Linked DNA regions of Schizosaccharomyces pombe. The protein of the gene in region 2 interacts with the protein of the main gene of each other region in a pairwise test. Each region holds a gene or a part of one and is shown on either strand. Other genes may lie near its edges. The genes, in order: dca7 and ppk15.

What was found.
Region 1: the proteins of ppk15 (region 2) and dca7 interact in a two-hybrid assay, tested with the Schizosaccharomyces pombe proteins (one large-scale study listed by BioGRID).

Annotation. Positions count from the first base shown.
Region 1 is NC_003423.3:3,322,077-3,326,515, reverse strand, and holds dca7 (WD repeat-containing protein), read right to left. Parts: upstream 2,514-4,439; 5' UTR 2,488-2,513; coding exon 2,245-2,487; intron 2,130-2,244; coding exon 1,896-2,129; exon of another isoform or gene 1,876-1,895; intron 1,856-1,875; coding exon 1,614-1,855; intron 1,589-1,613; exon of another isoform or gene 1,550-1,588; coding exon 992-1,549; intron 948-991; coding exon 917-947; 3' UTR 505-916; downstream 1-504. Other genes in the region: proteasome regulatory subunit Rpn2, read left to right, coding at 3,675-3,720, 3,782-4,439.
Region 2 is NC_003424.3:2,583,451-2,588,298, reverse strand, and holds ppk15 (serine/threonine protein kinase Ppk15), read right to left. Parts: upstream 3,127-4,848; 5' UTR 2,545-3,126; coding exon 2,356-2,544; intron 2,309-2,355; coding exon 893-2,308; 3' UTR 825-892; downstream 1-824. Other genes in the region: tom6 (uncharacterized protein), read right to left, coding at 4,252-4,358, 4,397-4,436.

The DNA.
Region 1 (4,439 bases), on a different chromosome or scaffold from region 2:
AGCTAATATACCATGCTACGTTAATACAAGCGAAGTTAAACGAAGTTAAAAAATCTATGTGTCACTGTACTTGTCAAATCAAAGTTAGTTATGACAAAATCGTTACTAATTGCTATTTAATTGAATCCATAATAAAAGCATTAATATTTTCTTTACTAGTAGGTAATCCCTATCTCTTTTCATTTACACATATGGATGTAACGCTTAATGTGTTTTGTGTTCCATGCATCGCATTCACAGCATGCAGCTGATTTTTTGTAGTAATCAGCCATGGCTTCTGATTTATGATTTATCAAATCGTTTACAATTCCACATGTGTTACATTTTGCGGTAAATTTGCTTCATTAATCAAAAAACGTAAAGTATTTTAAGCTCCTGCCGCACTAATTTAACAAACAGAGATTTCACTTCATAACAATAATAGAATAAGACTATTCAAAGTTTTAATCGATGTAGAAAGCTAAATTAAAAAAATTCTGTAAAAGTTGCTTGACTCCTTATCATTTGAAAACACGTATCGCCCTAGAGCTTTGTACATTTCCAGCGTTGCTGAGATACGCAAATGAAAGTGGAAATTGCATAAACATTGCGCTTGAATGTGCAAACCCAATTGCCAAAAGTTTCCGAAAGACATGTAGTTGATTTGAAAAAACCATAGTTCAACACGCAACTCATAGGGTTCTATTTCCAAATTTTCTCAAAAACAAACATAACTTTTTTGAATTTTATTAATAGTTAACAAGAAGACAACGAAGGACAACATAAAATGCCTAACTAGCTTTGCTTGACAAAGTAATTAAGCAAATGAAAAAAGCGTAAGAAATTTATTCCTCAGTGTATTTGCATTCATAATCTAATTTTTTTTTAATTTTTTTAAATTGAAATGCGTAAAACAACACTAATCACAAAATCTAGATCATTGAGGGACCTTCAGTATTTCAAGGGATCTAAAAAAAGATGTTAATATTTATTTTACTCCAAAAGTGCTTACTTTCCGTAAACAACCGCTAATCCGTCGTTTTTTACAGACCAGCTTAGATTGTTCACTTCGTGTTCCAACTTCCAAGATAGTAAGGGAGAATACTGGTTATCAGCATTCAACGGAGAAGCCGTCTCACGCATAGAATTCACCGACGAAACGGGTGTCACATATTCTGAAGTCGAGCCCGTCATACCAGGTGTAGTTCCAGATACACTCAGCGTTGGAGCTGGGGAAGGATTAACTGGCTGATCCAAATCCCATAAGGAAACGACACAGTCGTCCCCACAAGTGGCTAATTTTGATTTAGAGCCCGGCATCCATTTAACCGCATTCACGTCCCCCTTATGTCCACGCAAAGTGGCATAAGCAGTTCCCGGCACTCGGATGTCAATCATTTGGACGTCAGAAGAATTATGGTGGAAAGTTGCCATTAAATTAACATCGGAATCGCAAGCAGAAAGTCGAAGTAAAGGAGCTGAGACAGGAGGAGAAGCATTTGTATAGTCACCGTTTCTCTTCCAAAAGGTGCTATCGCCCTCATATATGATCGTGGAATGATCCAATGATCTAAAGAAAGTTAACAAACTACTGTCAAAAGGAAAAATCCAATTGCCGATTGTGGATCGCATACCTCAAGTCAAACATGCGGACGCTGCCATCAGCTCCTACGCTAACAAAAACATTGATACTGTCCTTGAGAAACGCAACGTCATAAACTTCTTTGTCGTGAGCAATTAATTGTGTTTTTGATTGCTGGGCTACAATGTCCCAAACTGTGCAAGTGGTATCAAGGCTACTCACTACGATATATGAAGGATCAGTTTTGCACCAATCAAACGAAGTTAGAGGAGCATTATTATGAGTTTTTACATGCTATAACATTAGTCGCCAAGAAGAAAAAAGAAAATCATACGGTAGATAAAGAGGCTTGACATAACAAAGGAGAATCAATCCCCGCTTCAAAATCGGTTTTCCATAATCGCAATTGCTGATCCGTAGAAGCTAGCAACTGGGAGTCGGTGTTAGAACCAACCGATGAAGGATTCCATAACAACTTCGTAACTGGGTATTCAAGATCAGTTGCTGCTTGCGCCTTTTCCAAGTGAGAATTTCCATCATCCCCAGTTATTAGTTTTAACAATTGTATCTAAACAATTTTTTGGTTAGTAACTTCGTAGAACAGAGTACATCTTTGGAGTCTATGCCAAAAGAAGCACAGATAAAATTATATAATATTTCCCCTGGTTTTGCAATTAGCATACCATATTATTTGGTTCTTCATTCAAACTTCCCATAGCAATCCATTCACTAGAATATTTTCCTTGTTTTAACCAATCCAAGGCAAATGGAATCCACGGTGCATTGTATCCAGTATATTCTTTTCCCGCTTCAAATTTGTTAGGCAGTTGTCTTTTGGGCGATCCGTAGAATTTGCCAAGTGAATCAAGTACTGATTTTCCAACGCCAGCAGATATTGAATACCTATTTCTACGTAAATCTGTCATTGTGCGCGAAGTGTGGATATTGGGATAAAGTAAGTAAGCGCCCCACTTATGATGTATATTCAATACAAAGCAAACAGCGAATACCGGCTGCAAAGCGAAAACGCAAAAATGAAGAATTGTTTTATTATATTTGTAATTTTTTTCCTATTCAATAATTTTTTAGTAAATTAAAAGAAGCGACTGCGTACAATTGCTTCACCCTTTTTTGTTGATTGACCTTTGATCCCGTACTCAGCGCTTCCGTTAAGGTATCATTACATATACATTAATATCATTGTATGCGTGAAACACAGAATTTTTTATATCTATTTAGAGTTAAGATAGTTATGTTTTAACAAAATACATTTCGGGTTACTTTAGCTTCTGTTTGCTTCCAGTTTGACGACATCGAAAAATGTCCATTCAATTAACATGCCAGCAATAAAAAACAGTGGTTTTAATAAAGCCAAAAACATTGTGGCATGGGAAGGCCTCGATATCATTTCTGGACGCATCCATGTGGCTTAGTTATTTCATTACTGATAGAATTGACTTCGAGAAAAATTATGAAATACATTAAATTTTCTTGATCAAACAGTTCATTTGCAAAGCTACTGAACCATGATAATTGTTATATTACATTGTATTTGTAAAGTAATATTGTACTAGGCATTGATACGTACTGCAAGTTAAACGAATGATCCCAGCGTAATATATACTATCAAAAAATACTAATGAAAGTATAACTGTGAAGTCAAACAACTATAATGCTTTAAAAAAAAAATTCGACAAAAATTAGCTACTTTGTTAAGCTAAAGACTATAAATTTATCGATACTAAAAGCGAATGATAAGAAGGCAATGAGAATCATATTATAGAACGATCAGAATAGCTTTACTTAGTTCGTTCATTTTGATACGATACTCATATAAATCCCTCATTGGGTTGAGATATCTTACATAGTTGATGAAACATACAATTTGACTTTTTTCGATAATACTGAATATTATTTAGGTGGTGTGGTGTGGATAACATGATATAGCATTACATTTAATATACCTGAAACATTTATTGGTACAAGTGCCCTACCCTTACCGAATGTGTTGGTGGAATGAAGCACAACGGTTCAGGGTATTTACCAACAACGAAACACCACCTGCTGTTATATAGTTTGTAAGATTTAAATAAACAGGTCTAGTTTCGTCGAAATGACTATGGTGTACTCTGATAACACCTCTATTATAACGTCAGCAGGTACGTCGAGCGTTAAACAATGAAAAAATGTAGAAATCATGTTCACTAATCCTTTTGATAGGTGGTTTGATGGCCCTGCTGGACGAGCAAGAGCGAGAATTACAAGTACATGCTTTACTAAAAATTTATGAGTTTATTGATCAATTATGGCCGGAAATATCGGATGATGTTACGAAAATTGAGGTTATGTATGAGGACCATTCATTTCCTGAACGCGAATTAGCAGCCTTGGTAGTCTCAAAAGTTTATTATTACCTTGGAGAATATGATGAGGCTCTTTTGTTTGCCTTGTCAAGTGGTCCAAAGTTTTTGCATGACAAAAATAGTGATTACAAAGAAACACTAATTTTCAAATGTATTGATATGTTTATTCATAAAAGTGCAGAGTTGTACAAAAATCCAAAGGCTGACCCCTTGGACGAGAGACTAAGTGGCGTAGTCGAGGGCATTTTTCAAAAATGTTATGCTAAAAACGAATGGAGACATGTTTTGGGAATTGCTATCGAGGCTCATCGACTTGACATTATTGAATACATTTTAAATGCAGACAAAGAGACAGATTTAAAGCCTTATGTACTGGAACTTGCAATGACTGTTGTTTTAGACATTGAATTCCGAAACCGCTTACTTCGTCTATTACTAAGTTCTTTTCTGACAGAAACAGAACCTGATTATTTCTCAGTTGGAAAATGCGTTGTTCATTTGAACGATGCCTCTGT
Region 2 (4,848 bases):
TTGCAAATCTTCAATTCATCTCTTAATTGCTGGATTTCCGATACTCGGTATTCATTCAAAAAGCCGTAATTTTTTTTCACTTTATCTTTACTTAAGTTTCCCGATAAAGAGTCAAATCTGGGATCACGAGTAAATTTTTTTGGTTCAGATATTACTTCGCGAAAACGAGAAACTGGTTTTTTACTTGACAATTCTTGAGGGGCGTGTTTCTTTCTTTCGCCAAAAATTTTTTGTCAACTTTCTCAGTATGTTTCATATTTTTTCTGTCATTATCTTTGTTTTTTGCTGTTCTTTAAGCAGGTCCCTTTGAGCATTCAACAATGTATCAAACGGAATCTCAGCTAACTCTTCAAATTTGTGAGTAAATATTAATTAAGAAAATAAAAGAATTTTTAACATACGACTTTTAGCTGTTTTTGATTCGTTGTTTGAGTCTTCATCGTCTTCTGAATCTTCATTATTAAAGTTTTCAAATTCTTCTTCTGAGACCAATTCTTCGTCGCTATCTAGATCATCTTCGTAAACACCCGCATTAGCAAGAGTCCCATTTTCAAGTGAACTTGATTTCATTTTGGCGATTTGTGAATGTCTACTACATAAAAGTATAAAACCTCTCTACATAGAGTATTTACCGTAGCGCTAAATATAGCGTTAAATTTGTAAATGCTTTATACTATTTACTATTGAAAACTGCATATTGAAGCCTCGAAGGAACTTTGAAAATATTCGTAGTATGTATATATCATCAAAAGTTTGAATGCTTTATGAAAATTGAAAACGTTTTACGAAAGCTATTAGAAAATTGGTACAACATAAAAAAAAAATTTGGAATGGATCATGCCTATTAAATATTTTAAATAAATTTGAATGTTTCTATACGTAAAATATGACATTAGAAAAATTCATCTACATTTTCGTTCTCATTAGCGGGAGGATAATATTGAGGCAGCGGTCGAGTATGTACAAATTCTTCAGGTTCGTTGGAAACATAAGTGCTTGCACGCTGTAAGGAAGGAGGAACCACCGCTTGATTTCCAATAGTATGAGAACGGTTCCTCGTTCTTTGAGTTGTAAGCAGTGGTTTTTGTTTGTCAATGCAGTATTGACTGAAAGAGGCACCTGTGATAAAAGGATGATTTTTCGCCTGGTCAGGAGTCCATCTCTTCAAAGGATTTAACTCTAAAAACTGCTTTATGAAATCGATGAAACAAAGTCTCTCTTCATGTTCTTCAGGAGTAAGCTTAGGTGTGGTTTTTCGGCGAGGATAATTTAAAACAATAGCATCGAGTGTCTTTTCACCAAAATATTGTTTTCCAGGTTGCTCTGTTTTGTTGTTTTCGATAGAAAACTGTTCGATCGATTTAAGCTCATAAGTTTTTCTACCGTTTACAAAACCAGAATTGTAATATTTCTTCGAATTTTTACCCATTTCTAACATCCAAGTGGGAGGATTACCAAGCATGTCAACAATCCGACATAATTGATTATATTCGGAATTTCCAGGGAACAAGGGAAGACCTAAGAATAGTTCAGCTAAAATGCATCCCAAAGACCACATATCAATTCCACAGTTATAATGTAGTCCTAAAATTACTTCCGGACTGCGATAGAATCGCGATTGAATATAGGTATAAACTGTTTGGCGTTCGTGACAAGCACTACCAAAATCTATCACTTTCACAATCGGTGATGATAAATCCTGCAACAGGATATTTTCCGGCTTTAGATCACAATGTATGATTCGAGCTTGTTTGAGGAGAGATGTGCACGATAGAAGTTGCGTTGCGAAAGAACGAACAAGACTTAAATGTAAACCACGGAACTGATTTTGCTTGATAAGCTCATAAAGATTAATACTGAGTAACTCAAAAACGAGACACAAATGATTTTTATGCATAAATTGATCATATAAACGAATTAAATGGCGCTTGTCTTCTGGATCGTACTTATTGTTAAGGAGCTCTAGTATAGAAACCTCCATCACACATTGGTTATAAAATGCCGGCTTATTTTTGATAACTTTAATAGCTACAATTTGTTGGGTTTTAAGATCTTGGCATCTAGCAACTTGACCAAATGTGCCATGCCCCAGGGTGTCGAGAATCAAATATTTACGGCCTTCATCCGTTCCTAGCAAATCGTTAACATACAATACATAATCATGATTGACGTTATCAAAACCATGGTTGTGAACTCCTTCACTGGGTTTGGTGAGTGGTCTCCGAGGGTTTTGTTCGGAAGAAAACTGGAATTTTGGATTACAAATTGAATATGTATCAGCTAGTTTCACAGTCATTGCTTCTAAGGGCTATATGTTTAATTAGTAAAATGCAGAGCAAGTAAAAAATTTCGTACGCTAATATAGCTTCCATGGGGAGACACCCTTCTGTAATTGTATTTCTTGGTTGCCGGTTTGACAGGAGCAAACAAAGTTGTTCCAGAAGACGAGACATGACGAGCATGATTATTACGCTGCGAGTGATCATGAGTCCTCGCAGCAGGAGGATTGTTCGATAATGGAAGAATGGGCGAATCCGAATCCATATGAATAGAGACGCCTTTTTGTAAAGTATTGCAAAGAATATATCAGTATAGGCAGAATACGAGTGCCTTCATTCACACTCGAATCACTTTAAAGTAACGTAAAATAGTGATCTCTTGGAACGTGAGTCGATGCACAACAGTGCAAAAAGGAACCACAAGTTATACTATTTACAAAGTAGTAGTTGACAGATTAACCAAAGGAATCTAAAAAAGAAGTGCTTTAAAGGAAAAAAGTCAAAGAGTTTGAAATGAACGCACCAACCGGCTAATCAATTTAATGGAACAACTGACAAAGAGCTAGTTTCGCTTACGATAATCTCGATCTGGAACAAAGGGAAACACTTGTGGATATGAAGCTTAAAATATGAATTTGGAGGAATCTTCTAATTTTCTTGTTTATAGCGTGTAGCTACAAATACAAATATAATATTCGGCAGAAAATCGAAAATATTCACTAAAATAAGCCGATAAATATGCACAGTGCGAGTTGAACGAATAACTAATCAACTCCACCGTATAAATTACAAATTTATACGAAAAACAACACTGAGAGATTTCGCAATTTATTGAAAGATGAAGGATTTAACCAAAAAAAGCGGCTTGGTTAAAGGATAGAGAGGAATCTGAAGGAAAGGGATGACGACACACCGCTTTGTAGTGAGCCGCGTGTAACGGCGCTGACGATGACTGAAATAAAGTACAATTGCTTGCTATGCCTTAATCAGTTTTACTGATTTTCAATCTATTACGTAATAGAGTGTATCAATGAATTAAAAGGCCGTCATTAAAACTTTGGCTTGCAAAAAAATACAAGAAAAAGTTACTAGAAGAGGATCTTTTGATTCTTATATTATTAAATAGTTGGATCTTAGATCCCAATTAAATAATTAAATATTGTTTCAGGTTTCCGTGACATGACTTAAGAAGGCGATAATTTCGCTTACATTAAGGTTCCTGCTCTTACTCTCCACAACGAAATCAATTCGTATTTGAAAAGACGAATGAATTTGGTGCAAAACATCCGTCTATACCAATAACCGCGATAAATAAGAAACAACTTCCATTGAAAGGCTTATTCGAAACATCAAGCGCAATGTTTACCAATAGTACGCATCCTTAATTCAGAATAGTAGCAATTTTTCGAAAAAACGGATATTCTCCATACTTAGTATATTTGGATGTTGCACAACCATGTAACCGGTTGGATATTAAAAGGAGGAAAAACGTTTCTTGTTTGGCATCTATCTGTAAATGAAGGAGTCGTTGTTAAAACATTCTCCACGCCGACTACATTCGTACATAAAAATTTTCGCATAAACGACAAACGAAATGGTTCCTAGTCCAATGTTCACACAAAAATCTGTAGTGAATGGACGAATATTGGTTATTGACTTCAAACATCTAAGGAAACATAAATAGACGCAAGATATCAGAATCGAACTAGCTTATATGTAAAAATGTTCCTACCAACTAATGCTCCTACGTACTTCGCATGACACTAGATAACATAAATATTTCAAATTTTAGATCGCTAACAAAAATTACAAAGCACAATGATATTCATGAAAGATATATGTTGTTTAGCTTTGAACCTTTATTGAAACTGGGAGTTCATTTTATTTATGAAACAACCATACAACGTTATGAAGTAATATTTTTCTGAATCCAAAGCTGAAGACGTTTAGTCCGTGAAATTCAAACATCCATTTACAATTGTGGTACCAAAAAGTTTCCCAGTCTGGATTTCAAGATGGCTACAGAAACTGCAAATACGCCAAGACTCACGAAAATGGAAGAGTTTTCCTTATTGACGACTAAAAGATGTTAAATTAATAGTTTTACAGGGACATACCCTTTTTGAAAATATCTTTTTGAGCAGAAATGCGATCCATTTTTGACTAAGTGGTTGAAGGAACGTGGCTAAATACCGACTTGTAACGTAATTTAACATGACTGTGATCGCTGCCATAAACAGTGATCAGGTAAAATGTATGGCTTCAATAACCCTAATTGATAACCCTAAGAGCTAGCTGTATGGATTTTGTTTTGCAGTAGAGGAAACATTCTATACTGCAATAGTTTTTTAAGACAAAACGCTTTATATTTAGTTTACTTGGTCTTACGAAATAATCAAGAGTAGCGCTGCGGAAACAAATTTTTTCCTTTAAAATTTTCCATAATCATTATCTTTTTTAGTATTTTTTCATTTTTTTTTCGGGGGAGGGGTTAGAATAATTTAATTCATTTTCTTAACAAATGTACATCTCAAGAGCATCAATATTTAGACAATTAAAACTTTCAATA